Linked DNA regions of Drosophila melanogaster. The protein of the gene in region 1 interacts with the protein of each later gene in a pairwise test. Each region holds a gene or a part of one and is shown in the gene's direction. Other genes may lie near its edges. The genes, in order: Cep290, sna, zye and Rbp9.

Region 1 (10,096 bases):
TGAGATCCAGCCATTTGTGCAGTGCAGGCCAATGCTGGATGGTGTTGAGCAGGAGTGTGGGTTGTCCTGCCTCAAAGCACTTTGTCTGGAACTCTTCTAGACTGGGAGCGTCCAGTTGGGGTATATCACAGTTGGAGGTTACTCGGGTTAATGGCTCTAGAGTTGGAAGTGGTGCGGAATTCAGTGCTACTGCTCCATCCTTGTCGAGATAATCCATTAGGGCGACTTTCAGTTCACTCCAATCCTCCATGCAACCCAAAAGTTGAGCCTCATCGAGGATCTCACTGCACGCATCCTTCTGGGCGGGACTAGTGCTCTCCAAGAGAAGGAAAAAAATCTAAAATGTATATTTGTAGTTTGTATGGCTTAGTTAGCATCTAAATCCCACCTTGAAGCAACAGGCTATGGCGTATATCTTCCTCGTGACCAAGGGAACCTGGCTGAAGTGCCCTGTGTGAATGCGTTCCCAGTTCCTGTCCACCAGCGCACCTACCAGATATCCGGTTTCCTCCGCCCCGGAATCTCCGCCAGACCTCAAGTTCGCCAGGTGATCCGCGGCTCTTTTGAGTATGTAGCGCGCCTCGACTTCACCACGGACCACATTTTCCAGATCCACCCAGCGGGGCAGCAGCTGCGTCAGCTCCAGGAACTCACTATCCATAGAATGTTAAACAACTATTATTTGTTTACCTTTTAGCTTACATTCAGCGTTGCCAGAGTTCATTTGTAAGCATTAAATATTTCGATTAATCGATGTTTTAAAATATATTTAAAAATTGATGAGTTGTTCAGTACTTCAAACATGTATTGCTTAAGGATGCCTTTAGTAAATTATAAATAGTAGCTCCGTGGGTCCTTCCATGGTGAAGATACATTTTGCACTGGCACGAAATGGAAAAACGATTTCCATGGGCGGAGTTATGACCGCCGTTTTGGACGCCGAATGGCATTGTGTGCCCCAAGTGCCACTAATTACGGGTTTTAGACTAAGCTGCAGCTTGTAAACAACAATCATGAGACAAGAACCCGGATAGTGGAATTGCTGACGGTCAGAGCTGAGGAGCATGTCGAGGACTTCGGATGACATCCGGAAGCACCTGAAAGTGCGGCGCCAGAAGCAGAGGGCCATTTTGGCCATGAGATGGCGCTGTGCCCAGGGAGGATTGGAGTTCGAGCAGCTGGACACCTTCTACGGAGCCATCAGGCCATGTAAGACCACTTTTCCAAACCACTTTCATATGTGTCTAAACATATTACAATGGACAATAGATCTGTGTGTGGCGCAGTTCTTCGGCATTATGCCTTTGTCGAATATCCGGAGTCGCGATCCCCAGGATGTGAAGTTCAAGGTAAGGAGCATTGGCCTGGCAGTCACCGGTCTCTTCCTTTTGCTCGGTGGCATGAAGACCTTGGTCGGTGCCAATATTCTCTTCACAGAGGGTCTGAATGCCAAGAATATCGGTGAGTTTTAGATGGTATGGTAGTGTGATCCCAACTGAAAGCTCAATAGTGGGTTTGGTTTTCCTTATCGTGGGCATGGTCAACTGGCTAAACTTCGTGGGCTTTGCTCGCTCCTGGTCGCACATAATGCTGCCCTGGAGTTCGGTGGACATTCTGATGCTCTTTCCGCCCTACAAACGTGGCAAGCGAAGCCTTCGGTCAAAGGTCAACGTCCTTGCTCTGAGTGTGGTCGTCCTGGCAGTAGGTGAGATTTCTGGGTTATCCTTTCAATGGTTTCCAGAAGAACTTTCTTTCAGGCGACCACATGCTGTACTACGCCTCTGGCTACTGCAGCTATAGCATGCACATCCTGCAGTGCCACACAAACCACTCGCGTATTACCTTTGGACTTTATTTGGAGAAGGAGTTCTCCGACATCATGTTCATCATGCCATTCAATATATTTTCCATGTGCTATGGATTTGTAAGTTAACTATATATATTTTAGTTAGTTAGTTTGAATAATGCTCTCTTTTTTAGTGGCTAAATGGAGCCTTCACCTTTCTGTGGAACTTCATGGACATCTTTATTGTGATGACCAGTATTGGACTGGCGCAAAGGTTTCAACAGTTTGCCGCTCGAGTTGGCGCACTGGAGGGTCGTGTAAAATAATCCAAACTATTTCAATGTATTTCTCTTTTAAATCCCCATCCCATTTAGCATGTTCCCGAAGCCTTGTGGTACGACATTCGGAGGGATCACATTCGCCTTTGCGAGCTGGCCAGTTTGGTGGAGGCCAGCATGTCGAATATAGTGTTCGTATCCTGCGCTAACAATGTGTATGTGATCTGCAACCAGGCGTTGGCTATTTTCACGTGAGTCATCTGTTTGTAGCTACCCCCTAGTCTCATTTCAAATCTTTTTAGCAAACTGCGGCATCCCATAAACTACGTTTACTTCTGGTACTCGCTGATCTTCCTGCTGGCCAGGACGAGTCTGGTTTTCATGACTGCCTCCAAGATCCACGATGCCTCGCTTCTGCCCCTGAGGTCCTTGTACTTGGTGCCCAGCGATGGCTGGACGCAGGAGGTGCAGAGATTTGCCGACCAGCTGACCAGCGAGTTTGTCGGATTGTCTGGATATCGTCTCTTCTGCTTGACAAGAAAGAGTCTCTTCGGAGTGGGTAAACTTCACGAGTCTTCACGATTCCCATACTGATCCCAGCCATCCTCTCCAGATGCTAGCCACCCTGGTGACCTACGAACTTATGCTGCTGCAAATAGATGCTAAGAGCCACAAGGGACTGCGGTGCGCGTAACTAAATGAGTGAACTTTAGTCCAGTTTAACTTAACTGAATGTATAATAAAATAGTCAGATAATCAGATTTGAAAAAGGGTAGATTCCTGCGAGGAAAAGTCAGTTAGCAGCTCATGTGTGAGTTCAGCCAACCCGACTCGGGCGGTTATTAAATGGCCAAAAGGCTTCCAGGATAATTGGCCATTCCGAGTGTCATTTCAATTTCAATTTTTGGCCAGCTGTCATTCAGCGAGGGCGAATCCACAAATGGGAGGGCAACCAAAGTCGCTTGCCATTAGTTTCAATTATTGCTACACATGTAGGCAAACGTAATTTTGAAGGCAACTCGATGAGTTTTGAAAGGAGAAAGGAGTTGGAGTGCACTGAAAAATATGTTCGGAAGCTAAAGTTCTAAATAATAATAATCTTATCTTTACTGCTTACTTCTAAACCCTTTCAAAAGCCACTTGGTGTGCTCTGAACTAAATACCATTTTTTTTTCGAGTGTAAGAAAAGTTAACAGAAACACGAGAAGGCGGCGGAAAAGTCGCTTCGAACAGAAATGGCTTTTCAATTTCAAAACTCGGCCTTTGACACTTTGCCAATTAACACTTTCCTGGTTACCGATTGCCATTTTTGTTTGTGGTGGGCCACCGGCTGCTCCCACCGCCGATCCTTGCCGCTATAGCCGCCGTTGAGGCAATTATCCTGTCAGGAAACTTTCTACGCAGCCGAAGCAGCTAGCAAAACAGAACGCCAGCAAAAACAAAGGTCCTGCAGGTTGGTCACTTGAAAGGAGCGCGCCGGCACCCTCGTTTCCGGAAAAGCAACCCCCGAATGGGTTTTCAGTCGTAGTTTGTTTTGGGCCAAGTGTCATGGCAACCGGAAAAACTGGAGAGCTGGTGTGGAAAATCGGGGAATATTTGGACGCAGAACGTGAGTAACCGCCGAGGAGCGAGGCCATGAGCCACCAGGATGAGCATGGACATACCAGAGACCGTATCCCTGCGCAAGTTCCGCGACTTTTCGGCGCGCCAGAAGCAGGAGCTCTACGAAACGCTCCTCGAACTGGCCGAGTCCATCGATGAGCTGCCTAAGAAGTCGCTGAGGAAAACCCTGGAACTCACCCTGGCCGTTTTGGAGTACAAGGGCGAGCAGGTACAGCAGCTGCAGGAATCAGCAGCCGGAGGACTCTCCTCCGACCGCCGCCTGCAGGATGAGAATGAGAAGCTGAAGCGAATGCTCCAGAAGTTGGAGGACGAACGCGATGGCCTGAAGAGCAAAGCCAAGGAGGTGAGCAGTAGATCATGTAAAGTACCCAAGCTCAAGGATACGCTTTTTTCTCACTAGTTGGGGGAGGAAATCCGTCAGTTGGAGCTGCGCCTGCAGGAGGCGGCGCAGCAGGCGGAAATCAGCGACAAGGATTCATCGGATCCCCTGTCCGAGCTGGACAAGCAGGAGCAGCTGCTGCAGAACATCGACTCCAAGAACAAGCACATCAAGCGGCTGCTAAAGGAAATCGAGGTGAGTCATATTATGTTTTGCATTCAGAATATACTATATTCATTCCCTTTCAGACACTGCAAAACCAAAACATAGCTCAATCGAAGACCATAGTGCTCCACGAGCGGGAGCTGCAGACCATCAAGGCGAATCTCGTGCAATTGAGCCAGGACATCACCAAGGTGGAGCAGGAGCGCAAGTCCTTGAAACAAAAGGAGCAGCAGCAGGCGCTGGAAATCACTCGCCTGGAAGGAAATCTAACTTTCCTGGAGGTGGAGCGCGAGAAGCAGGAGGTGGAAATGCGTCAGTTCCTGGACAAATACGAGGCCAAGTCGCTGGGCTGGAGGCAGGCGCTCGACGATCGGGACAAGGAGGTGGAGCGTCTCAAGAAACAACTGGAGGGCAAAAGCATCAGCTCTGGCCAAACCAATTCTTCCAACAGTCAGAGTCAGCAGGAGGAGGAGCACGCCAAACTACGACAGGTAAGGATGAACTGCCGATATATTTTATCTAGATCTTGAGCTCGCTAAATGTTCATCCCTCGTAGCTTTTGGAATCCCGGGAACAACGCATCGAGAAGCTGGAGGAGAAGATCAAGTCAATGGCGGAGGAGATGGTTAGCTCCACGCGTGCGATGAACCAGTTGTGTCAGGAGAAGGAGCGAGCCCACGATCCCGAGCAGCCGCGAGCCTGCTGCCAGATGATCGAGGAGCGCCTGCGGGAAGCCACCGCCCGGTGTCAGCAGCTCTCGGAGATGCTGGAGGCCGCCGAGCAGGACAACGTGCTCAAGTCCCAGCAGGCCCTGCACGCCATTAGTGCCCTGGAGGCCTACAAGCGTGACGAAGATGGCCTCATTCCCGCTCTGCGACGCTGCTCGGGATTGGAACAGAAGGTGGCAGCACGCGACAAGCAGCTGAGGGCCTACATCCAGGAGCTGAACTCCCTGCACGAGGTGGTCCAGGAGAACGAGCTGCTGCGGCGAAAACTTCACATCCCCGACGATGTGGTCATCATGGCCAAGAACGTCCATTCCAAGCAGCGCAACAAGGACAAGCAGATCGAGCGACTGACCCTCAAGCTGAGGACATCCGAGGAGCTGCGTCTGCAATTGAAGTTGGAAAAGAGTGAACTTAGGCGGAAGCTCTTGGAGTTGCAGCAGGACAGTCCGCAGACCTTGAACGAATCGCTGCAGGCGCCCAGCGAAGTGGGTGAAGTGCCTCATAGTGTGCATCTGGAGAATTCGCCGAGACGTGGCCAAGGCGACGGGGCAGCCAGTTCCGAGATGCAGAATCGATACGACGAAGTCCTGGCCGAAAATGAAACACTACGCTCCGGCATGTACGAGATTCTGGAGAAGCTGCGGGAATATGATGGTGAGATAACCATAACATATTTCTTGAATAACTATATGTATTAAACATTATCCATGTAGCCACCTCAGAGCACATAACCATCGATTCCGATCTCTTGCGCCGCCTCATCGAAGCTCTGCCCGGCGGAACGACCACTCCGCAGCGACTCCAGGGTCAGCTCCTAGAGCTGAAGGCCCGAGAGGAGGCACTGCGTCAGCTGCTCGAGCAGCAGAACTACAGTGACTCCGAGACGGGAGAACTGTCCTCTGTGCATAGTCTGTGCGAGGTTCCCGAGATTGCAGAAGAGCATCCTGTCGAGGAGGATGCTGTGCTGAACACAGCCACCAGGCCAAGCTCGCCCACTGAAGCCACGATGGGATTACGCAGACCCACTGTACCAGATCCCGAGGAGAAACCCACGAACGAGGCCCTGGCTGAGCTCTCCATTCTGCGCAAGCACTACGACGAACTTCGTCTTCATATGTCCGCCGATGGCAGTGATCTGATGAATCGCAACCAAGAGCTCCACGATCAAATGATCGCTTTGGAGTTGCAGTTGGAGCAGCAAAGGAATTCCTACTCCTACATGCGCAGGGATTACGATCAACTGCTGACGGAGACCAGAAAGCAGGAACTTCGCTTCATAGATGATAAGGCGTCTCTAGCCAGGCAGTTGGAGCATAGCAAGAGTGAACTATGTGAAGCTAGAGAGGAGTTGGAGCAAGTGAATCGAAGGAATCTCTACACTGCGGAGGAGCAGCAAAAGTTGGAGCACAGGAATGCCATCTTGAGCATGCAACTTGGCCAGGCGATGGAGCAACTGCTGGGCGAGCTGAAGCCCACGGAAATATGCGCTGAGTACGGTATAATCAGGGAGAACTATCAGCTGGATTACATCACAGCCCAGGACTTCGAGGAGCAGCAACAGGAGCTGCTCACTTGGAGGAGCAAGCAGGCGGAGCTGCAGAGGGAGACCAAGCAGCTGGAAGGACTGCTCCATGTGGCCAATGAGCAGGTTGGAGATTCTCCTTGATACCTACCCATGGGAGATCTAATGCCCATCCTCTTTCCAGATTCACTCCCAGCAAAGGCTGCTCAATGAGATCACCGATAACCACATCAATCTGCGTCACCTGGTGGCCGATCTTCAGAGCAGCTCCGACGAGAAGCTAATGCTGGCCAAGGTCCAGAGGGATCTGGATAGTGGTAAGCACAGACTTATTCGAGGAGAAGATCAGTAGCCAGCATGTCTCTCTTTTTTTTTTTAGTGAAAGCCGAGTGCTCCCGCTTGGAAACAGAGCGAGAAAAACTGCAGCTAAAGGCGGACTGCCTGCAAACCCAACTGGAGGCCAGCGAGTTATCCCTGAAACAGACGCAACAGGACTTCCAGCAGGAGCGCACCAATAGCGATATTAAGCACAAGTGAGACCAAGTGGTGGATAATCCCTAGCAGATCTGACTTTCTACCAAATCCCACAGATTCCTCCAGCATTCATTGTTTATGCTCAAAGATAAATATGCCAAATTCACGCCACTGGTCTTCCTTACCAACTTTGTGTTCGCCTACCAAAAGTTCCAGCGTCGCCTGGAGGAGGAGCAAGTGCAGCAGCGACATAGAGATCACACCGCTCTGATTGATGAAGTGACCGCCGTGGTCCAGGCCAAAATTGGTCTCAACGAGGAGAGTTCCCAGCAGTTGGTGAAGCTCATAAAGTCTGAAACACAGACGAGACTCTTGGAACAGCGCTGCGAGATTCTGCAGGCCAAACAGGAGGAGCTCGTTCGGGAATTGGGTGAGTTGAGGATGAGCCAGGCCACCGACACCGAGCACTGGAGCACCATCCAGGCCTTGTTCGGTGAAGGAGAGCCAAGAAGTCAACTCAAGGTGGATGCAGAGACGAATACCGATGCAGTGGCTCCTAATCTGGCCATGAGAAGGGCCGTCCAGTTGATAGACAGGGAGTCATCGCCCATTGGGTCGCCTCTCCGAAAACATCCGCACCTGGATACAGCCACTCAAACGCTGGAGGCGCAAGTTGAGTTCTCGGAGACGGCAGTCCAAACCAATGGCATTCTCAGCCAGCAGAATCAAGCCGTTCAGACAGCGGATGCAGTGGAGGACAATAGGAGAGATTCCCGCGCGGAGCTACAAAAAATGCAAGAAACGTAAGTTCCCCCAAGTAAAAAATGTAAATAACTATTTGCAACTATAAATGGTGATGCCCAACAGTCTGCAGGAAGCCAACCAGCGCATCGAGATCCTTGGCAAGCAGTTGGAGGCTTCCAGATCGGAGAGTCGCGAGTCCGCCAGTCCGCAAGGTGGTGTGGTGGAGAAGACCATACTCTCGTTCCACACCCTGCTCCTGGAGAAGGACCAGTCCATACAAAAGTACCAGGACCTTCTGCAAACCGAGAGGGATCAGAGTCAGCAAGCACTTAGCAAACAGGTGGCTGAAAACGAATCCCTGAGGGCCACGGTTAACAACCTGAACTTCAACATCAAGACGAAGGATGCAGAGATTCAGGGCCTTAAGGAGAAGCTGAGACAGAAACCCGAGGTCCCCGTGGAGCGCAACCCGTCGACGGATTCGAGGTCCAGTTCCAGTTCCGATAGCTCGGTCAACGAGCTGACGGATGAGAAGATCGAGGAGCTCTTCGAAAGCAGCTCAGTGGAGAGACCACCCCAAGAAGAGTTGGAAGTGCCAGTGGAAGCAGGTCCAGAGAACATAGTTACCGAAGAGCCCGAAGGTGAGGAGGAGAAGCAGGACACCGAGGAGCTGAAGGAAGTGCCGACGCTGCACAAGCAAATCAAGGATCTCAAGGACAAGCTGGAGTACAGCGAAAGGAGCCTCAAGACGAGGGAAGAGGAAGTGGATATACTAAAGGAGAAGTAAGTTGTAAAGTAAGTAGTTGTGCATGATCTTAATCCGTTACATTCGACAGGTTGAAGCTGTGCCAGGAGCGGGAGAAGTCGGTCGAAAGCACCGTGAATCCCGAACTGGATCAGCTACGCATCTTTCTGGATGAGAAGGACAAGCACATCAAGGATCTGATGGATACACTCAAGAACTTCCACGTAATGCCCAGCAATACCATCATATTCATCTCTACTATTAAAAGTTTTAAACATGCAGGACGACCAGCAGCGCTACATCAAAGACACCTCGAACTTCTCGGAGGACCAGATAGCCAAGCTGGCTGCCGATCTCAACCGCACCGAGGCCACCAACAAGATCTATCACACCCAAATGGAGGCACTTCGCCGCCAGCTGGCCAACGTCACCCAGCGCGAAAAGCAGGCCAGGGATCTCAGCCAGTCGCTGCGCCAGCAGCTACTCAAACGCCCTGTGGTCTCCATTAAAACGGAACTGAATGCCCGGGTTAAGAACGAGAACCAGCTGAAGAGAATCCAGCAGCTGGAATTGGACTTGGACGAGGCACGTGGCCAGCTGCAGCGACAGCAGACGCTCCTGGAGGCCAAGCGCACGAGGAGTGCCAATGAGGTGCAGCTCTGGGAGAAGCAGAAGCGGTACCAACAGCAGGCGGAGAAGACCAAGGCCCGGCTGGAGGAGACCGAGCTGGCGCTGGAGAAGACCCGTGCCCTTCTCCAGGCAGCGCGCACCACAATAGCGCGCTTGGAAAAGGACAAGCAAATCCTGGAGTCCAAGCTGGGCAGGAACGGTCCGCCGAGCAACAGCTCCGGTGGCAATAACCTCAAGTGCTGCCGCACTCCATCCTGTCCGAATCTCCAGCACGTGGGTGTCAGCAAGTTCGCTCCATCGCCTTCGGAGAGTCCGGAGACCTACACGGGTCCCAGCAGCGAGTGCAGCTCTCCGGCGCATCATCACACCCAGATCTTTGACCAGAGTCAGTTGGACCTTATTGAGGCGCTCAAGTCGCGCATTGAGCTGCAGCAGCGCAAGATCATCGCCATGGAACTGGAGGGCAGGGGCAGCAATGCCCTGACCACGGAGCTGGAAAAATTGCAAGAGCGCTGCCAGGCCATCGAGGCGCAGAACATCCGACTGGAGGCCAGGAACCTTCAGCTGCAGCTCGACTCGGATCTCTTGAGGCAGGGCGACAGCAGCGATCGGCTGCAGAAGCGAATCAAGCACTTGGAGGAGTGAGTAGAGAGCGGCAGTTTCCACGCGTGTGAATCGAGACTTATGCACCACCCCCATTTTTCAGCTACATCATGGCCCTGAAGGAGGAGATGGCTCGCAACGAATCCCGTCGAGAGTTGGGCAGTGGCCTCAAGGTGAGCACAAATCAGGGCCAATCGGCGGAGCAGACGATCCTCTCGCTGCGCAATCTCGTGGAGAAGTTGCGATCGGAGAACAAGTTCCTGAAGGATGGTCGACGATCCACGGAGTCGCGCAGCTCCATGGACTCCACGCCTGCAGAGGCGGCACGTCTGCAGCAGCAGCATGCAGAGGCGCTGGAGAAAATCAGTGCTCTGCAGCAGGAGTTGCAGAAGCGAACCACCAAGTGCAGCCAATGCGGG
Region 2 (6,408 bases), on another chromosome or scaffold:
AGCTTAGTCGCCGTAGCATAATGGAACGTTGGGGGCAGCGATGACGACAGGACACTGACAACAGGATCTGTAATGTCGGCACTGAATTGACAGGATAACGAACCGTGAATAGGCGCGAAACCTGCGTCGAACCTCAAAGAAGAAGGGAAGCCAAGGGGGAATCGAACTGGAAGTCAAGGCAGCTGCCACAAGTGCAGGACTTGCGACAATAGAGCTTGCTGCTGGGATGGTTTTTGGGGTCCGTTTAGATTTTCAGACCCGCCAGGGTCGGGGTCGGGGGTCATTCACTATTTGCAGCGAACAATGGGCCACAGGTAGCGATGGAACCCGCACCCGCACATAAACGCCGACAGATACGGCCAGGTGATCCAACTTTTTGATTTCTTCTGGCTAAAGGACATTGATACGCCGGCCCCGCCGAAGGATTCCGAGAAGCAATTCCTTTCGCTGGCTTTTCAAAACATTTACTCCACTGTATTTGGCCATTGTGCCGCGAACCTACCTATTGATTGTGCAATGCACCCGGTCCACATGCACACACATACAGCCCGTGGCAGTGATTTTCCCTGCTTCTCCGATCTTCGATTTATGGATCGCAGCTCCTTTGTTCCGTGCCAAAAAAAGGAGAGCCTGACCTGGGGGTAGTATAGTAATCAACAATTCATTGTCAACGACATCACACATCGTATATCTTGGGCCATAGTTTGTTTTCCTTGGTGGTATCCCTAATGTTCGTTCCTTTCTTTTTCTCTCTCCTCTTTATATCTTCGTTTTTGCAAAAGGTTCACCAGGCCAGGTGACCTGGATATACTGTTAGGCTGTGATGGCCTGTGAAGGAGTGGGGGTTTTGGTTAGAGAAACACAGTCTAGGAAGCTGAAAAAACAGTTACAGTTATCCTTGGGCGAAAATGTGATATGATTTTTCTGAGTGTTTTATGCGAATATTTAATAAGAAGAACAAAACGAAAAACATTTTTTACAAGCTCCGTAACATTAATTATGAATAAAATTACAAAGTTCAATGTGTTGTTCTTAAAATACATTTCGATCATCGTTCATAATGTCTCCTTTTTGCACTGGTTGTCGACCTAGTTCTGTTTTGTGACTCGGATTTACTATTTCGCATGGCTCCTCTTCGAACAATGTCAGTCGAGCTCTGTAGATCCCTGTGTTCCCTCTTCATTGTCAACTTGAACAAATGAGCCAGGGAACAAGGTGCAAAAATGGGACGGTCCTATTCTCAGCAAAAATTGACAAGAACAACAACAATGTCTATGGAAAATCGAACTTCATCCCAGCACCTGCAGAAATCCCGAGCGAGTCGGGGAAAAAGTATTTAACCCCCGAAAGGGTTTTCCCCAAAATAATGAAGTAATGAATGAAGCGGAAAACACTGGCCGCCAATCTACCTAATACTAATGAGCGGGCCAACCCGACCAGGAATTTTTGCAAGTCAGGTACTTCAACGGATATATGGGTTCGACAAGTGCGGATTTTCCCGCGACATCAATGAGGACTTGGCCGGGTTATCCGCGGTGCTCATCGGGCAATTCCGCGGCCGAGGACTTCATCGTAGTGATCATTAGGTAGATATGTGCATGGATGTGACATGGCGATCATTGCGCGGAATAACACACGTAATAACCGAGATATCCGGGATGACCCACCAGGTAGGATGTGAGGACATATAGAAAACCCCCAGCCAGTTTTTCCACTCGTCGTGGCTTGTTTTGCTTGAGTTTCGCTGACTGCGTAATTGGATAAGATGGGAAATTACTTTAAATCCTTCGCTGATCCACATCCGGACATTCGTCGAAGGAAAATCCATTGCAGGGAAATACGAAATGGAAATGCGGCTGGGTTATTGGCTCGACATTTCCCATCTTCCCTCACGCCATTGGTTGCAGGATCGCGGGGAATTGGAATTCCGCGCTGGAATTTTTTGTCACCTCTTGGGTTTATCAAAACTTTTGGGTTTGCTATGGATTTTTTCCAATTTTACCACCGCGCCTGGTTTTTTTTTTTTGACGACGCGGAAAATCGGACTTGGCTATGCGGGCTTGTCTGTTTTTCCGGGTACAAAGTCTGCATGTCAGCCTCCATGCGGGAGTGGGAGTTGGGAAAGTTTCCCATCGATAGTTGGAGGGGTGGCTTGAAAGTCTGGAGGTGCTAGCTGGGAAAGTTGTGTGTGCGCGATGAGGCAAGGAGTCAAAGATCAGGGGAGTTGGAAAGCGAGAATTGTGGGAATCGTCCAGGACTCAGCTGGATGCTGAGGGGCAGTATGATTTTTTTTACGTTATCAATCGAATTGATTTTAAGACAGCAGAACTTCACATACTAATAAGATGACCATGGGATTAGTTAAAATGTGTAACTCGTATTCGAATCGTCATTCTTTCACGGACCAATCGTGGGAACAGGAGATCTCTTCGATCCAAGCTCACAGGAGACTTGACACTCTTCGTCTATTCCTTGTCAAGTTTTTAATGACATCTCCTATGCCCTGAGCTATGTTTTCCTAGCTCTCATCGATCGCTGCCAATGAGCCACTGGAGATGATCCATAAGTCAGCGTAGAGTGCACCCCAGAGTTGACACTTGGTGTCTCGGAATTCGGCTCATTATCAGTGCTATTTTTGGAACACCTCTCTGCGAAGGTGTCATTTTTGTCAGTGCGTATCGCTCAGGTTCAACTCCCCACCAAAAACCGAATTTAGAGCATCGGCAGATGTACTTGAAGCACTCAATCTAAGTGAGGAAACCACCCCATGAACGAAGAGTACTAGGAGTCCTATTTGACTCGTGCTTAAAAATAGAAAATTACTTAGGGTGATCCATAGGTAGGGAGGCGATATTGTAACTTGCATTTCGGACCCGGACCTGCACGAGTTATTACGGGTGGGTTGTGAGCGTATCGGGAAATTGGAGAGCCACCAGATCTGTCATAACTTATACGGGGGATCCTTATTCCTGGGAGGGTGCGCCTGCGTCTGCTCTTCCGAGAGAGAGGTGGGAAATGGAGGAAGAGAGAGAGAGAGAGAGTGAGAGAGCAGGTAGAGGGAAGTGAGGGAAATACGCAATAAGGGTATGGGAAAAGTGCTGTTGTTGTTGCTAGGTAGCGACGCACACGTGCGAGTGTTTTTCTGTTTTGAAGAAGAACCACCACCAAATGGCGACAGCGGCGTCGGCAGAGGCGCAGAGTTCCGGGTATAAAAGAGCGTGCTCGACTGTTGACCTGTCACAGCCACCTCAGCTCTCGTTGAGAACGCAACCACCGCTCTATACTCGATCCCGAACTATATAACTCGCCTCTCGATCGCCGATCTCCCGATTTACCCATCTCGATCAGTACCGGAAACTAAAACTTAATCACACACACATCAAAAATGGCCGCCAACTACAAAAGCTGCCCGCTAAAGAAGCGCCCCATTGTCTTCGTGGAGGAGCGTCTGCCACAAACGGAGGCCTTGGCCCTGACCAAGGACTCACAGTTTGCCCAGGATCAGCCGCAGGATCTATCCCTGAAACGGGGTCGCGACGAGGAGACCCAGGATTATCAGCAGCCGGAACCGAAACGTGACTATGTGCTGAACCTTTCAAAAACACCGGAAAGGAACTCCAGCTCTAGCTCCAACTCCTGCCTGCTGTCGCCGCCAGTGGAGGCCCAGGATTACCTGCCCACCGAAATCCATATGCGTGGACTAACGGCAGGAACAACGGGATATACCACCGCCACCCCCACCACGATTAATCCCTTCCAGTCCGCCTTTGTGATGGCCGCCGGTTGCAATCCGATCTCTGCCCTGTGGAGCAGCTATCAGCCCCATCTGGCCGCCTTCCCCTCGCCAGCCAGCTCGATGGCCTCGCCCCAGTCGGTCTACAGCTACCAGCAGATGACGCCGCCCTCCAGCCCCGGATCCGATCTGGAAACCGGTTCCGAGCCAGAGGATCTTTCAGTGCGAAATGACATCCCACTGCCGGCTCTGTTCCACCTTTTCGATGAGGCCAAGTCCAGCAGCAGCGGTGCCAGTGTAAGCAGCTCATCGGGATACTCCTACACTCCGGCCATGAGTGCCTCGTCGGCGAGTGTTGCCGCCAATCATGCCAAAAACTACCGCTTCAAGTGCGACGAGTGCCAGAAGATGTACTCCACCTCGATGGGCCTGTCCAAGCACCGTCAGTTCCACTGCCCGGCAGCCGAGTGTAATCAGGAGAAGAAGACCCACTCCTGCGAGGAGTGTGGAAAGCTGTACACCACCATTGGAGCCCTGAAGATGCACATCCGCACCCACACTCTGCCCTGCAAGTGCCCCATTTGCGGCAAGGCCTTCTCTCGACCCTGGCTGCTCCAGGGACACATCCGCACCCACACTGGAGAGAAGCCTTTCCAGTGCCCCGACTGCCCACGATCCTTTGCCGACCGCTCGAACCTGCGAGCTCATCAGCAGACCCACGTGGACGTCAAGAAGTACGCCTGCCAGGTGTGCCACAAATCTTTCTCCAGGATGTCGCTCCTGAACAAGCACTCCAGCTCCAACTGCACCATCACTATTGCGTAGGATTCTCGACATATGAATCCCTTAGCAGGACACAATTACCTAAGCAAACTCACATTCCGCTGGCGAAGACCAAACAAACAGACAATACCTATTATAAGTTTGTACTAAGTCGATTCGGTTTTGGTGCTACTATTACTATATTTATTTCAGCTATAGTATTCTAAGTTTAAGTTCATGTATATTGCCTCATTGTCACACGCAGCATTTTACCAAATCTATTCATTTAATTATAATATACCCTTATTTATGTATTCTCAGTACTGTTAAGCCAACTGTTGTTAAGATTATTCCTAGCTTAAAGAGAAGAATTAAATATTTTTATAAAATAAAACTCACGAAAAGAAATTTATATGGTCTTTATTATTTTTAACAATTTTGAAAGAAATTCTCACAGAAGGAAACTGTATAGAAATATTCAATTTAAATTCTATCACTAATATTTGGGCTCAAATACAGACAGATGTGAATAAAAAAATTTAAAAATTTGTAACCAAAAGTTATAGAAAACATTTTAGGTAGTAACAGCATTCATCGAAACGCATTAAAAAAATGTAATCTTTCCTTCTACAGTTTCTATGTGCCTTCAAAATGTACAATAATTAACAGGAAACCAAACATCCGCATTTTGGGGTCTGCCCCTGTTCATATTTTGTGACAATTTCCGCCAACCCTCTCGAAAAACAGAAATCACAACAATAGCAATATCGAATTCTCGGAGAAAACACCTTTGGCATGTGCAAACAGGGAACCGATTTGTCATACACTTTCCTTTTCGGGGACTTCCTTCTAACCCGCCCCCATTAATAGCATTCCATCAATTTCAATCCATATCGCTCGGCGTTTTGCACCTTTTGCCAATGCAAATATTTAATTAGCTGACACCGACATCGCTTCACGTTTACATTTCTGCAATCCTTTTCCAGCATTTTGCCGAACTGATGGCGGCGCATGCGTCCTGAGTCCCTAAAGGATACCAAAGGACACCAGAGGACCGTGGAGTGCAGGTGATAAACGTAGCGACGGCTGCTTATCGAGTCCTTCCTGATTGACTGGCAGACGGTAGTTCAGGTCCTGATTGGATTGGATTACCACCGAAGCATGCTCTAAACCGAGAACCCGTCGAGGTTTATCTGACTATTTGATTAGACCCGCGCGGTGATAATACTTTAGTTTGAACAGGTATGAGGAATAAATCCAAGATATGGGTGGATATTTTAGCTTAGGCACGTATGGTTATCAAGGCAAGGTGAGTGGGTATTTGGATTCAATTTGTTAATAGCCATGTTCTAATAGATATTAGTTCAGAAATGTTCACTGATACAATTCAGTAGTTGTAAGATTTGCCAATAAACATTTAACGATTCTTTTATTATTTAAGGAAGTCCCGTAAATGTGTGACTCTAAAAACATAAATAATCGAATGCGGGTGTGTCGGAATGGGACAAGCATTAGCGACATTATGTTGCAGTTGCAACACCTTTTGGTCATAAATAAGGCTCACAAAAATCCATTCCCAGAAGGAACCAATGCAGACAATGACCAATCATTCCAGTTCTACGGTAATCAGAGCGCGTTTCTTGTGCAATTGCAAAAAACTGCAGCACAGATGCAACTGGTCACAATGCATCAGCTGTAAGGAAAACACCTTGCCGGGTGGACAATGGCTAGAACGCAGTACCTGTCGCCCGATTGTCTGCCCAAGATTCCTTCACCCAATGACCTACTGGGAGAGCTGGGCGACCGACTTCTGTGAAGTCTTCCGCCCTTTGTTTCTGCGGCATCCTTTTTTGCCATTGTCCTGCGGCTAATCACCGCTTAAAGGGAAGCCAAAAGAAATCACAGACCACAAA
Region 3 (7,048 bases), about 20 Mb from region 1:
ACTATCGTATATTTTAAGCTAAAAGTCTTTAAAAATTAATGCCAACTGATTGTAGATAAATATTCCGAATATTAGCAAAATAGGGAAATTATGAGTACCGCGAATGCTATTGCCATACCTGCAATAAAATTTTAAAATAAACAGCCAATAAGTTGTATTATTATTATTTTATGTCTGAAATTAATTTTAATCGCCACAAAGTGTGTTTGCACTACCAAAACTTGGAGAACAAGTGAGGTTTACTTTTGCCTATTTCTTCGTAGCCAACAATGTCCGGTAATAACGAAATGTCTGATCACGAATTTGTTTTGTCACTGCCGCCGAGCGAATGCAAGAATATGTGATCTTTGCTGATCCACGGGAGAGATAGGTTGTCACACCCTTTATGGGGACCAAAAATTACGTTTTCCATTAAACATATGTTGGTGTTTTTAAGTATAGTCCGCAACACTTCATTATGTCTTGAAAGGCCCAATCAACGAAACTTTAATGCAATGTTTTTAAGTAAAGAAGTACTATGAAGTCGAATGGAAAATACTCTTAGGGTATTGATTCAACTTTCAGCAAAGTGTGTTTCTTATAAAGCTAAGTTGGGAAATTAGTTATTAATAGGGTTACATTCAAGAAATGCGGTACTATATTTCATATCTCTATGATAACGTTATGATTATGACTGGATGACTAAACCTTTGTAGATATAGATCCTTCTTTAAGAACAGACCCTTCTGGGATGGTTACCCTACTTATTATAGTATAATATCAAATATATTAGTAGCGGTTCTGGGAGCAGCAGATACCATCCACTGGCAGACTGGGTTACGTGATGTTTGTCAAAGGCAGAAGCGCCTTCGAAGGCACCTCTGGCATCGCGATGCAGATCGTGCCGGCATATGGATACGGATTCGGGTTCGGCCTAACCATATGACGGTGGCTAAGTGAATTACCCTACCATCCGTCTCCATCCGTATTCTTCCCATGGCGACAGCCCACCATCGCCATCTCGCCATGACCGTTGCCATTTGGCTGCGAAAATCTATCAGCATCACGAAGCGGACGCTGGGCTTCCAAAACTTTGAATACTAATACCTGTTAGGGATGACCAGGCGCATCGGCATCGCATCGGCTCCGAATTCGTCGTCAACCTGTCCGCAATGCCGGCTGTAGTTGCATGACAACATCTCCATCGCACACCTCCATATCCATATGGCCAAAGTCCCACTACCCCGTTTGGTATCCCCGCCCCCTTGGAGCCCACATCTTGTAGTACAGGTAGTTGCAATGACGGATTTTGACTCTTTGGCCCTAAAAGCACACCGGCGAAGGTGCAGTTTTTCAGCTCAGTTTTCAGTTTTCAGTTGTTAGTTTTTGGTTTTCATTTTTCAGCTGGCTACAAAATGTGCCAGTCGCGCGCTTGGGTCAAGATGGCTAAGACGGCGACTCAAATGGCTAAAATGGCTAGGGGAGACGGCGAGTGGACGGTGCTCACGCGTCTCGCTGCCCACGAACTCCATATGAATGGAAAAAATAGTTGGCTCCAGGCGCCGGGCTACTGGATGCCCTAACTCTGAGCAATCAATTCGGAAAGGGTTAAATTGATGATAGTGACATGATGCAACGATAACGCCCATGAAAAGATTGATCAATATGCCCTGAGATACAGATTCCAGATATTTCGGCGACCTTGAGCCCACAGATGAGCCGAATATCCAAATTAAAATCATTAACCTACGTTTCTAATAAGAACAGCTAGTTGCAACATATTTATATTGATATTTTTACCTATCTCACATTTTATAAATATAACATATATATCAATCTAGTCCTTAAACTTTCCAAAGGACCTCAAAGATATGCATAAAGTTGTGGAGCATGATCTAAAAATGATACAGACCATGGATATTTTTTAATAATAATTAATAAAGTGCTATAATTATAAATCCAGCTTCGCAATTACGTTTCAAATGACACACCCCCATAAACGAATATGTATTATACCCGTGATCGTATAACTCGTTTAATTCAAACAAATTGAAACAAACAAATTGAAGTATATAAGGTGTTTTGCAAGCTGACCTCTGACATTTGGAAGTTCACTTGAAAGCGGGTACTATTTAGATAAATTCTAATCTGTATCCGTTTTGTGTGCTACCCGTGTAGTGCGGCGAATAAATAATCACAACCTGCCAATAAATCGTAGTACCCGATTTAGTGGAGTGTGCGTGTATAAAACCACGAGCGACGTAAAATAAACAACAACAAATATATTAAGCTACTAGCATTGGTTGTATTATTTGTCGTTTTTGTATTTTGTTTTTTTATTTTCGGTTTCTGTTTTTGTTGCCGTTGTATTTTACTTGCCGCGTCTTTGGATTTTTGAGGCAATATCCGAAACGATTTCTGTTAAATCATACGCCGTGTGTGTATATAAACGAAGACGAGTCTCTTTGGCGCTTAGTGCGGCAACGTCCACTTCGCCAGCTGCATCCCAGCCAGATCTTTTCCCGAGCCCAAGTCCACCAGCCAGTGCAGTAAGTCCAAGTTTATCCAAGCGGTCCAGTGGTGATATCCGTATGATGGCCGACTAAATGGTCAAAGTGTTCCACTATGTTACCAAAAGACATTCAGTGATTTGATGTGATCAACTCCATAGGCCGTTAATTAAGGCCAGAAAATGTGAATCGATTCAATTAACTAAGTGAATGGTCCAAGTGGTTACTCAAGAACTCGTCTGAAATGAACATATGTACATACATAAGTATGGAAGGATTCACTAAACTTTTACTCGATGATCCGCTCTAGAGTTGGAATATTTTGAAAAGCAGTTTTAATGTGTGGATACATCTAATCTAAATCCAACTATTACCAAAAAAATACTATTAACTAGTGCAACATTTATTTTTAAATCCATAAAAAGTTAAGGAAATTTTAAACATTAAAAAAATTGCTCAGTTTTACGACCCACAAAGTTAAGGTATTATTCGCTTTTGCATATTTTATATATTGCATATTCGCATGCATTTAAAATCAGTAAAAAATAAAGATGCAGGATTTGGTAAGTTTTAATAAGAAATTGACCAACTTTGCGGTCGCCAAACTTGAATAATTGTTAGCTTTTTCCATTACGACCCACGCAGATTTGACCTTGTATTTACATTTAGCCGGCTATCTCACTTACATATATAGATATTTGGTTTTAAAAAAAAGTAGAAAGTAAATGACTGTGACGCAAGTAATTATATCCTCTCCAAATCCAGTAAGACTTACAATATGACAGAATCGTAAAGCTAAAATAAACAACGCTAATTCAGGTTAAACCCGAAATAATACACCTTATAAAATTTCACGGTCTCTAACTGCGTATATTTTTTATATATTTGTAAAAATGAGTTTCGGAGAAGATCAATTGATTTAAGCCTTGAAAAGCATTCTTTTCGTAAGTCCGTTTGCCCGTTTTTTGCATTTCTTTGTAATTAATTTAGACGAGAAACAAGTTTCGCAGATCCGGGGCCTGAATGCCATTTGCATTCGTTCGTTGTTAATTTGTCAAATCTGCTAACTGTGTGTGTTTCATTTAGTTAAGTACCTTGAATAAGAATTAAATTAAGAATGCATTAAATCTGAAATCAGCCAGCTCCTTGTGAGGCGATCGAAAATATGGCCAACACTTGGCAATCTATGCAAAGTGTCCATAAATACCCAATTAAGTGCGTCACAAAAATGTAAATTAGATTGTTCATAACATGTCTATTTGAGAAACGAGCGATCATCTTACCAAATCGGCGCCTATCCAAAATTGGCCATAAGCCGAGACAAGATAACTGCCCATAACTGATAGCCAACAATGCAAGTTAGCCGCATTTCACCAATTTGTCAGCGCAGAGCATTGAATCCAAGTTATGAGTACCCGAACCCAGACATGGAATGTCGGCTAAATCAATCGCTGGAGGAGATCACTCGCGTATTCGGATTGTATAGTTTACACATTTGGCATAATATACAAATGTGGCTATATGCATATACGTGGTGGTGAGGCCCGCGGTCTAATCACCTGTTCGCCGTGATTAATACGAAGATATACGCCTATGCGAGGCGCTGAAATGTCAAAAGTTCAGGGTGAAGCCATCAATGTCCAAGCTGTTTTTATTAACGCTCAATCGTTAGCCAACACAATTGAATATGATTGCTGGCAAACTGCGCAGACAACCGGGATCACCCATTCTATCTGACTTAACATTTCGACACCCAAATCAATAATCGCTTTTCAGAGTTATAATTGCCCAATTATACAGAATGATGATCGTGTACCTATATATATCTATCTCATATATCTCCTAATTCTATAGTTTGTCTTTTAATCCATACAAGCCATTAATGTGTTTGTTTAGCAATTAAATAAACGACCCGGACTATTAATCTTAGGGGCCAAATAACAATATCGTGATAACTGGCAAATATAAATCTGTGGCAAAATTAAATGAGCAATTTTTTGACATGGTGAACCAATTTTTATCAAATTGGCCATAATTATGCAGTCATATCAAACCCAACCGCAAAAAACCAAAAACCAAAAAAAAAAAAAACAGCAAACTGAGATATCAGGCCAATGTTTTCGAACCTCCAAAAACCCAAAAAATTGGGTCGCTGAAGATTAAGCGAACGGAAAGTTGGGAGCAAAAGAGATACCATATTAATCGTGTTGAATATGAATCGGATGTATGAATGGGCGGTGTTTCATCACAATCTACTGGACCTCTTGCCAAATGTGACGCGTTTGTATTTACAAGCTAAAAGTTGTTTCCATTTCGGGGAAACCAGTAAGATTATACAAATGAAAGGGAAATTACTAGAATATTCAAGAGAACAAGAAAACAGATAAAACTTAATAATATTTTTTAATCCATGGGACTTTTGATTAATGTAGGATTTATTCATGAGGAAGAAGAAATGCTTAGCATTGGGTTCTATTAACCAGTGACGTAAGAACAAAAACAGAAGACTTCACACGCCAAGTCATCCGTAATCAAATGGTACTTATTCGCCCCTCGTTAGCTTAATGCTTGGAATAACCTAGACAAAAGGGGCCTCAATCAAAAAAAAAAAAAAAAAAAAAAAAAAACACCTAATCATCCGGGGCCCAACATCAAATGCGAGATGGCAAAAAACAAGAGGAGATTGCAGAAGCCAATGCCAAACAAAAGGCCCCAAAAAGACCCAAATCGAAGCGCCTTTATCAACTGCGGCTAAGCAAATAGGCATTCGTCACTAGTTGTTTCGCCGCCCTGCTCCCTTCGTGCGCGAGTCTTGAATTTATGGATTTTGAAATCCGCAGCATCTTTCCCATTTGTTTCTTCTCTTTTAAAGGTTAGTTGTATTATTTAAAAACCAAACCCGTTTTAGTGGCGCGCTGGTGCAGCACCCTCCATTCGTCGGGCAAAAGAGGTCCGTCCGGCTGTTCGAACTTCGAAGCTCGTGTAAACACTCGACAGGTTGCACTCAACCGTAATTAGCGATAAAGAAGATCTTACCTCACCCAGCGCTAGAGATCGCTTGACAAGCCCGACCTATGCAAATATATGTCTGGATTTTCGGTGAATTAATTTTTCGTCACCTTCATGCTGTTTGATATATGACCCCTTTTGATCCCATCGAAAGCGCCCTTTCCGCAGATCTTCATCTAGTGAGTCACCCGAAGGTGGAAGGTTACTTACGTGATTAAACTACCGCCGCAGTATCCGAATCGGTCATAAACTTAATTTACACAAACTGTAAACAGAAATATTATCTTGTTTTTACTGTATTCGTTGCTGAGACAAAGAGGAAAATAATTTTTAATTTAATTTTTGAGTCAGCCTTTAAGATATAATAGTCCTTAGCTATGGGTCAACGATAACTAATAAATATGTTAATATTTTTAAATACTTCAGAGTAGAAATATTGAGTGAACTATGTGTTTTTTTTAGCCACCAGATAGGCAATAAATTAAGCTCTTCGATTCGGAAGATCATAAACCGCTTCCAGTACACACCATTATCATATATTAAACACACTCTAATTGACTGTTTTTCAGAATAAAGCTCAAGACTTACATTTAAGATGGTCAACGTCGGCCACATTTTCGTGTGGGCCTTGCTCTTGGTACGTAAATACACACCGATCGATATCCATCTAGAAACCATTAAATTGCTGATTATTATTTCGTATAACTGTCAAGGTCACCACTCGGGGCACTGATCTGAGTGATGATGAGGCGCTCAATGACGTTTTAGGCGAACTTGAGTTTGACGACTCCTCGCCCAGATTAACGCGCGACACTTCTCTGTCGGCCAAGCACATCGAGAAGATCGATGTGAAATGCGACCAAGGTAGTGGCATGATGGTCGAGGTTGAGTTCTCCGAGGACTTCGAGGGAGTCATCTACAGCCAGGGGTACTTCAGCGACCCAAAGTGCAAGTGGGTATATACCATTAGCTAGCTCTGAGTCCCCTCTTTAACTGTCATTTTTAATTTTAGCTACGTGAAGGGCGATAGATCGGGACGCAGTTTCACTTTCACAGTGCCATACGATGGATGCGGCAGCAAGCCCTCGTGCTCCGTTTGCGCCTCAATCGAGAACATCCTGATCATCCAGGACGACAGGGACATACAAAATAGCTTCGATATAGCACGGAAAATATCGTGTAGTCGAGGCGATGAACGTGAGAAGACTGTATATTTCAAACCATTTGTCGTGGACATGCTCGAGGTTATATCGGTAGATACACCGAGTGGGCCGGTAGAGTGCTGGATGGAGATCGGGACGGGAACTCCTCCCAATGTCAAACCCATCCAGGGCACTCTAACCCTGGGAACTGACATTACTTTCACCATCAACGTTAAGCACTCGGAACAGGCATGGGATATAAACATACTGCAATGTTATGCCTCCGATGACATGGATTTTGAGGCCAGAACGACAAAGAGATTGCAGCTGTCGGACAAAAGGGGATGCTCGATAAAGGAGAAAATATTTGGGGAGTGGCGAAAGTTTGAGGCGGGCTCCAGTCTAACT
Region 4 (7,168 bases), on another chromosome or scaffold:
CCCACGGAGACGGAAGTGGTCCGAGCAGAACTCACCAATAACATGCCATCAACTTGCAGGTTTATCTCCACTAAGTTTCGTCCCTACCAGCAGCAGTCAACGACCAACATTCAGCACGAAACGCACAACAAAGTGGCCATTCTCAGGTAGATCATTACAATTAACTTAACTCAAGTCGAAGTACACTTGCTAATGACACTTTTCATTTTTCCCCAATCTCGTCGAGCAGTTTGCGCTGCCAGTCGTTGATATCATTAAAGCTTTATAAGCTGAGAAGAAAGGATTGTCGGGCCATTATCAACAGTCTAACAGATTTCTTTCGCGTTGGCAGGGGGGACATTGCCAACGGCAACACGCCGTCCTCCATATCACCATCGAACTCGGTGGGCTCGCAGGTGAGTCTCTCAGTTGGCAGCTACTCATGTGCGGATTTCGTTTATTCATTGCGGCTTTTCTCTGTTTTCAGGGCTCCGGTTCGAATACGCCGCCAGGCAGAATAGTGCCTCCAGATATACACAATATGCTGTGCAAGCAGAATGAGTTTCTGAGCTATCTAAATAGCGCTCACGAGTTGTGGGATCAAGCCGATCGATTGGTGCGCACAGGCAATCATATAGGTGAGTTGTTTAGGCGTCCGCCTAATGATATATATTAATGATCAATGTCTGAATCCATTAGATTTCATCCGAGAACTGGATCACGAGAACGGCCCGCTGACGCTGCATAGCACCATGCACGAGGTGTTCCGGTACGTGCAGGCGGGTCTCAAGACGCTCAGGGATGCCGTGTCGCATCCGACGCATCAGTCGCAGTAGCGACAGCGGCAATATCAACCGCAAACGCAACGGAAGCGTTGGCGGAGGCGGAGGCGAAGGCGGAGACGGAAGCACCACCAAACGTGTCTAAATGAAAGTCAGGCCAAATTAGCAACTATTATCTACTACAAGCTACTAATTTAGTTAGTCAAGATGAGGAGGAGGAGTAACGAATGAAATGAAATCGAAACCAACAACCTTCCAACAGAACGATTATAACCACAACAAAAACAACACAAAAATTTGATTTGTTAATACTTTATAATTTATATATGTATGTAATTGTATATGCACACCATTTACTTATTTCCTTATGCTCAATTTTCGATTGTTTAAGCATGTTAAGCTTTATATTTATGCCTAGTTTTAATTGATATTACCACAAAGAAAAACAAAAACACACATTAAAAGTTATATTAGCTCTACGTCTAGTCTGTAAGCTCAAAAACGAAAACCCAACCAGCCCACCCCCCCCCCCCCCCGCCCACCCTACCCCCTTTTCCTGTTACCCAAAAACATAAACATTTTAGTTGAATTTTGTTTTCGTATGCGTACAGTAAGGAAGATGAACGGCTTTTTAAATTGTTTAAGTTTTAGTTAATTTTACTTTGCAGCCTTGGTAAAGAAAAATGTTAGCAAATATAATTATACATATTATGGCATATATAAAGAAAAGTTATAGTTATAAATTCTTTATAATATTTCTATATGAATTATGTTTAACGCAACTATTTTATTAATTTTAAATTAATTTTTAAAAAGCAATCACAACACGTTTTTAGAACAAAATACATGAATGAAAACAATATATATTTATATTAATATATATTTCAAATATATACACGCAATTGTATTTCTCTTTTGGTTTTATTTCTTTCAACCCATCCATAAAACCACCTCATCCACAGTCTATTCCCAACATAATTCATAAATTCATAATGGGTGCCTCAAAACTCTCACACAGACGCAACAACTAATAGTGCATTAGTAGACTTAAACGAGTTAAAAATCAATCGAAATAGACTTGCCCTCGAAATAGTTATATAAGCTGTACATATAGCCGCCAGTATACAAGAAATATATTTTTAAATGCCAAAAAGTGAGCGCTGTAAACTACTTTAAGCCAACTTCAATCAGCAGAATTTGAAAATGAGTGGGGATTGGGATAGGATGGTACGATGGTAGGATGGTAGGATTCTGGAATACATTCATATATTGACCGAGTTGAGCAGCCAGCATTTTCTTGTTGACTTTTATTTTGGCATGTACGAAATCGAAACTACGAAAATCAAAGCAAAAATGTAACGAAAAACAAAACGGAAAGCAAAACAAAGTAAGAAAGAATATTAAATTAATATTAGTAATGGTTCTGGGGAAACAAGGCATTCGCTCGCATTCGACAAATGAAACCGAAAACAAACATTTAAATTGTAGACAAATTTTAAGTTATCACTAAAATGACGAGTGCCGAATGCCGATGGAGAATTTGCGCAACTTTATTGTGCAGTGCAACTACATAAGTGTAATTATTATAAATTGGTACACATGCATACATATGTATTGTTAATTATTAAAACGATGTAAATAATACAATTACGTAGGCGGGAAGACACGGACACAAACATGCATATAATTAAAGTAAGCATAATTACATGCCTAACTATAAATAACTATATATTGGTATATATAAAGATATATAATATATATATATTTTTATATATATACACGATGAATTAAACTAAACAACGTAGAAATCATAGTTAAATTTTTTCGAAGTGACAAGATTAACGTGCAGCAATAAGCAACCGACAAGAACAACAACAACAACCACAACAACAACAAAAACAAACGAAACGCGCCTAGTAATAGTTAATAATTCTATTTTGTTAAGCGTTATTGTAGTGAAACGAAACAAAAGAAAACCAAACAAAAACAAAAACAAAACCGAACCGACAGATCGAACAGCAAAACCAACAGAATTAAGTTTTAAGCTGGACTTTGGAACGTGGAAAGCGAGTAGAAAACCAAAATGAATGCAAAACATGTTGTTCATTGACAAAGCTAAAAGTAAATATATATTTTGTACAAATATAATTAAATTCAGCCGCAGCTAAAACCAAGTACACTTATTAAAGTTTAAGCAACAACAGAACAACAACCAATTTAATATGCAATTACCGTAACAGTAGTTGATAAATCGAACGAATAAAACATCAAAAATTGTAACATTTACATAACTGCCTTTTGTGTCTTGCTTTTTTTTAACACTATGGATGGTTGTAATAACGGAAGGAGATGCTTTAAAAATTCAGTGTGACCAGGCAAGGTTATAAATTCATGTCCATCTGTTTCAAACAAAAGCTGGAAATTCTTAACTCCTGTTCCTTAGGGGAACACTTGAAGCCGAATGCAATTAAAACGATTTCTTATCTTGATAATGCTCATGACGAAAGGAAGTTTCGATCAATACGAGAAAAACTTTTTGCATGATTAATCGATCAGTGCTGGTAAGTCGCCAAAGTAGTCTGTCAGTGTTAGCAACTCAACGTGTTACTTGCTGTGCTTTCGACAGCGTGGTGTCGATTCTTCGAATTCATCGTTTACAACTTCATCATAAGGAATGCAAAATCAAAGCGATTTTGTGGGTGAGATCCCCAGGTACACTCGCAACAAGAGAAGGCAATATCAGCGCCAACGACGTAAGGCACATCCGCAAATTCCAGGGGTATTAACAGGAGGACCAGAGCCAGAGAAAGTCAACAATTGTCAGAGAAAGAGACCCATCAAGGGCCACGTGTATGACTCCACCAGCGAGGAGGATATGACCATCAAACGTAAGCATACAGACGCCTCGTGGTACAAGGTTCAAGTTAAATGCGAGAATGTGTCCCCGAACATCGAGGAGAAGCACGGCAACAAGATCAAGCAGCCTTCCTTAGCGTGGAACAACAACAGGAAGCCCAATAAAGGGGATCTACCACAACCACCGCTATCTTGGCTTTATCCCAACCAATCTAGGGGCTTTTATGACAACCAAAGCTGGAACTCTGGCGGCTCACGTCAGAATCAGTCGCAGTGGGAAGCACCAGTAAGCTGAAAATCAATTATTCATTTAAATAATTAAATTAACCGAATTTTATATGCACATCCGCAGAGGCAAGAACATTCATCTTCAGCTCAAGGCCGTAGTGCCAGGAACCCATATCTGAACCCTATTCAGGAATCCTGCAATGGGCGTTATATTATTGAACATCAATGGAACACGACCATTATCCATCACAAGTAAGGTAAGGCAACAAGAATGAATTACATAAAAACCTATTCGCTAAAGAAGATTTAACACAGCCACTTATTGTACACAAATCTATAGTATGTCATTTATAACTACATCGTGGGGATTTTCCCGATTTCCCAAACACAGGACATTTTCATGAAAGGGCCTTACATGTCTGATCAGTTAGGTAAGGGTTAAAAGCGCAACATTTTGAGATGCATTGGGCCCCAACACCTATGCAAAGTGAGTGCATGCATGTGGGTTGCTGTTATTGTGATGGTGTGCAAGCAGCAACAAAACAAACCGCATATAAATAAGGAGAGCGAGGTATTGTTGCATACTTGTAGGCAGCGGGATGGGGGTGGAGCTGTTCTGTTCCATCCGCTCGCAAAGTTCAATGGTCTTTTGACACAAATGATGATGATGTCAAGTTGAGCTCGTCCTACGCTCCTGCCTTGCTCTCTCTCTCTCTGATGCTCTTTCTAGCTTGCGCTCTTGGGTTTAAAGCCCCTCTGGCACCTTCCCTTCAGTCAGCAGCCGTTGTTGTTGTTGCTTAAGTGTTTGTTTGGGTGCCGTGCTGGCTCTCTCAGCTCCAACAACAGCAATGCGGCCGGCTTACGAGCCCCGGCTCTCTTCGCCTCTTTTGGAGCTCGCTCTTTGCCGAACGGAGAACCTACCGCAATTCGTTTCGTGTTCACGGCTGCATTTCCTTGTTTATGTTTTGCGAAGCCAAATGTAGGGTACATCGGTTAAGTGCCGAGCCAGGAGAAAGAGAGAGCGAGCGAACGAGTACCGTTATGTTGCCGGAGCTGTTGCAGGCTGCGCAACTTGCGGCTGCAGCTTTTTATTATTTGCCTTCTTCTTCGCGACCGTTACTTCTCGCATGGTACAATGGTGCAACTGTGCCCAAGCTGTATATTGAAAATAAAACAGCACTTCTGCATCTCACTGATGTGCAATGGCATTTAAGCTTATCCTGAAACGTGTCAGGTGCATTTACTTATTTCTATACATTTACAAATTGTTGCATAGGTTGTCTTTTGAGTTTAGTTGGGACCGAAATCCATTATTTCAAATAAAATAGAACAACATTTTGGATATAACAATACATATTTAGCATATGTCAGGTCAGTCTAATATTATTATCTATATTTGCAACACAAGAAAGTAGAAGGGTTAAAGTTCGCGCTCAATGTTTGAATTTGTCCCACTGTGCATGCGAGAGCAAAACTACGCAGTTATGCTGTGCATTCGCCACCGCCCCCCTCCCGCCCTCTGCAGGGCCGTGCTCAACTGTACGCCAATTGGAGGAGAGGAGGAGCTCTGCCGCTGGGGCCGCGGACTGCGGCGCGGCAGCGCTGTCACGGGTCCTGGCTGCAGTTATCCTGGCGGCAATCGAACACTTTAATCATTTAGTTCTTGCACTCTCCGGCAGCAAGTTGTGTTTTTTGATTCTCGTCGTATTGTCGTCGTTTCTGAATTGTTGTATATCGGTATCAAAATACACACATCTTGCATACTCACGCAACTACGCCCACATACACATATACATGTACGTGTGTCCAATTGCACGTAGTGTGGAATCCGAATCAGTATCGAAATCAGTTCGAAAACCCTTAGTGTGTGCGTGCTCAATTCAGTTTTCAAATTGAAACTACATCATTTGCAACGAAGAACATTTTCCAGTCCCAGTTCCAGAACCATTTTCTTTCGAGTCGAGTTGGGAAAATCGGTGTTGTATGCTTTGCGGCGCTGGCGAATAAATGTAAGCGAACAGAGAAGAATGCTACGGATATGTAGTTACAGTTACAGTTACACCATTTTATTTGCAAAAGTGCCCACACCCAAAGTCGATTTTTCGCCTGCATTCGTATGTGTGCGAATAGTAAAACGGAGCTCAATGGGGCGGCTTGCAGTCGGCGAAATCTCAATTTCTCTACACTCTGATATATATTTGCCGCCTACACACACACACAAGCACACAGAAGTCCATGCAGCTGCGTTTCGTGCAGCGCCGGCATCGCAGTTTTCATTTCGCTGCCTGCAGCCGCCATTTAACCTAAAAAACGCCGCACAGGAGCGGTTTCTTCAGAGGGAGTCGATCCCCAAAAATAATGATTTATTGACCTGTTTTCCATATAAAAGTTTCCTTAAAGCTAGTTCGTACAAATGTGGCACAAAGTTCCCTTGATTAGATGTAGATTTTCAAATGGTAGAAGTTCGAGAACTTGTTACAAGACTTGAAATTTTCTAGTGCAATTATCGGATTTATTTATTTTAAAAGAAATTCTTTAATTTCCGTAGTAGGATTTCTGAGAGATTATTGGAGCCCCTGATCTCGGAGGGACCCCTTCGAGACGGCCCTGCTTAGGCAGCGCAGTTGCCGTCGACGACGACGCCAGCTTGCAGTTAAGCTCGCTCTCTGGCTCCCATTCTCTCTCTGTGGCGCTCAATAGCCATTGCATATCTTGTGGCGCGCTCAGCTGACTGCTGCGCTTTCGCTGCAGCCTGCGCTCTCACTGTCTCTCCCGCTCTATCTCTCCGCCCATATATCCTGTTTATTTTTGCCGCACCCAAATCAAATGCATACGGCCTCAGCCGCCGTCCTTATAAGTTCCTCTACTTTGCTGACCCGTTACTTGTCCAGAACTCCTTCGCTCGCTCTCTCTCTCTGTCTCTCCTTTCATCCGCTGCCTTTGCCTTTGCCAAGGTGTGTCACTTTTTTGTTTTGTTCCTGCCCTTTGAACACTTCTTCCCCATTCTTCCAGTATTCGTAAGTGTGAGTGCGTGTGTGTGTGTGTGTCTGCATAGGTATGTGCCATCAAATCCATCAATTAGCCGGAAACAATTTCCAACTATTTATGAATGAAAATTAATGGTTGCGCCCCCTTATTTTGGGGGCGTGAATCGAAAGAGGAGGAAAGAGGAAGCTTCCTTCGGTTGACTGAAAACAGAAAAGGACTTCAGGAGCTACCAAAAAGTTTAAGAAATTTAAAGGAGTGTCAGATATTCTTAAAGAGTGTAAAAAAACTGATTCTATATTGATGCAGTCTATGAGGTCTAATATATGGTACAGTTT

What was found.
Region 2: the proteins of Cep290 (region 1) and sna interact in a two-hybrid assay, tested with the Drosophila melanogaster proteins (one large-scale study listed by BioGRID).
Region 3: the proteins of Cep290 (region 1) and zye interact in a two-hybrid assay, tested with the Drosophila melanogaster proteins (one large-scale study listed by BioGRID).
Region 4: the proteins of Cep290 (region 1) and Rbp9 interact in a two-hybrid assay, tested with the Drosophila melanogaster proteins (one large-scale study listed by BioGRID).

The regions. Positions count from the first base shown.
Region 1 is NT_037436.4:840,654-850,749, forward strand, and holds the start of Cep290 (centrosomal protein 290kDa), read left to right. Parts: upstream 1-3,272; 5' UTR 3,273-3,712; coding exon 3,713-4,030; intron 4,031-4,087; coding exon 4,088-4,261; intron 4,262-4,314; coding exon 4,315-4,722; intron 4,723-4,787; coding exon 4,788-5,613; intron 5,614-5,672; coding exon 5,673-6,607; intron 6,608-6,665; coding exon 6,666-6,798; intron 6,799-6,860; coding exon 6,861-7,014; intron 7,015-7,071; coding exon 7,072-7,758; intron 7,759-7,822; coding exon 7,823-8,482; intron 8,483-8,535; coding exon 8,536-8,668; intron 8,669-8,726; coding exon 8,727-9,715; intron 9,716-9,780; coding exon 9,781-10,096. Other genes in the region: JMJD5 (jumonji domain containing 5), read right to left, coding at 1-337, 389-661; Gr61a (gustatory receptor 61a), read left to right, coding at 1,065-1,209, 1,270-1,461, 1,511-1,705, 1,758-1,924, 1,981-2,103, 2,161-2,315, 2,367-2,619, 2,678-2,758. UniProt on the Drosophila melanogaster protein: Essential for ciliogenesis in sensory neurons and spermatocytes.
Region 2 is NT_033779.5:15,475,085-15,481,492, reverse strand, and holds sna (snail), read left to right. Parts: upstream 1-3,232; 5' UTR 3,233-3,385; coding exon 3,386-4,558; 3' UTR 4,559-4,900; downstream 4,901-6,408. UniProt on the Drosophila melanogaster protein: Essential for the correct specification of ventral-dorsal patterns.
Region 3 is NT_037436.4:20,411,139-20,418,186, forward strand, and holds the start of zye (zye), read left to right. Parts: upstream 1-2,465; 5' UTR 2,466-2,528; intron 2,529-6,067; 5' UTR 6,068-6,093; coding exon 6,094-6,135; intron 6,136-6,211; coding exon 6,212-6,450; intron 6,451-6,510; coding exon 6,511-7,048.
Region 4 is NT_033779.5:2,951,411-2,958,578, forward strand, and holds the start of Rbp9 (RNA-binding protein 9), read left to right. Parts: upstream 1-3,351; 5' UTR 3,352-3,903; intron 3,904-3,969; 5' UTR 3,970-4,097; intron 4,098-5,500; exon of another isoform or gene 5,501-5,854; intron 5,855-7,168. Other genes in the region: lilli (lilliputian), read left to right, coding at 60-146, 230-395, 467-617, 679-815.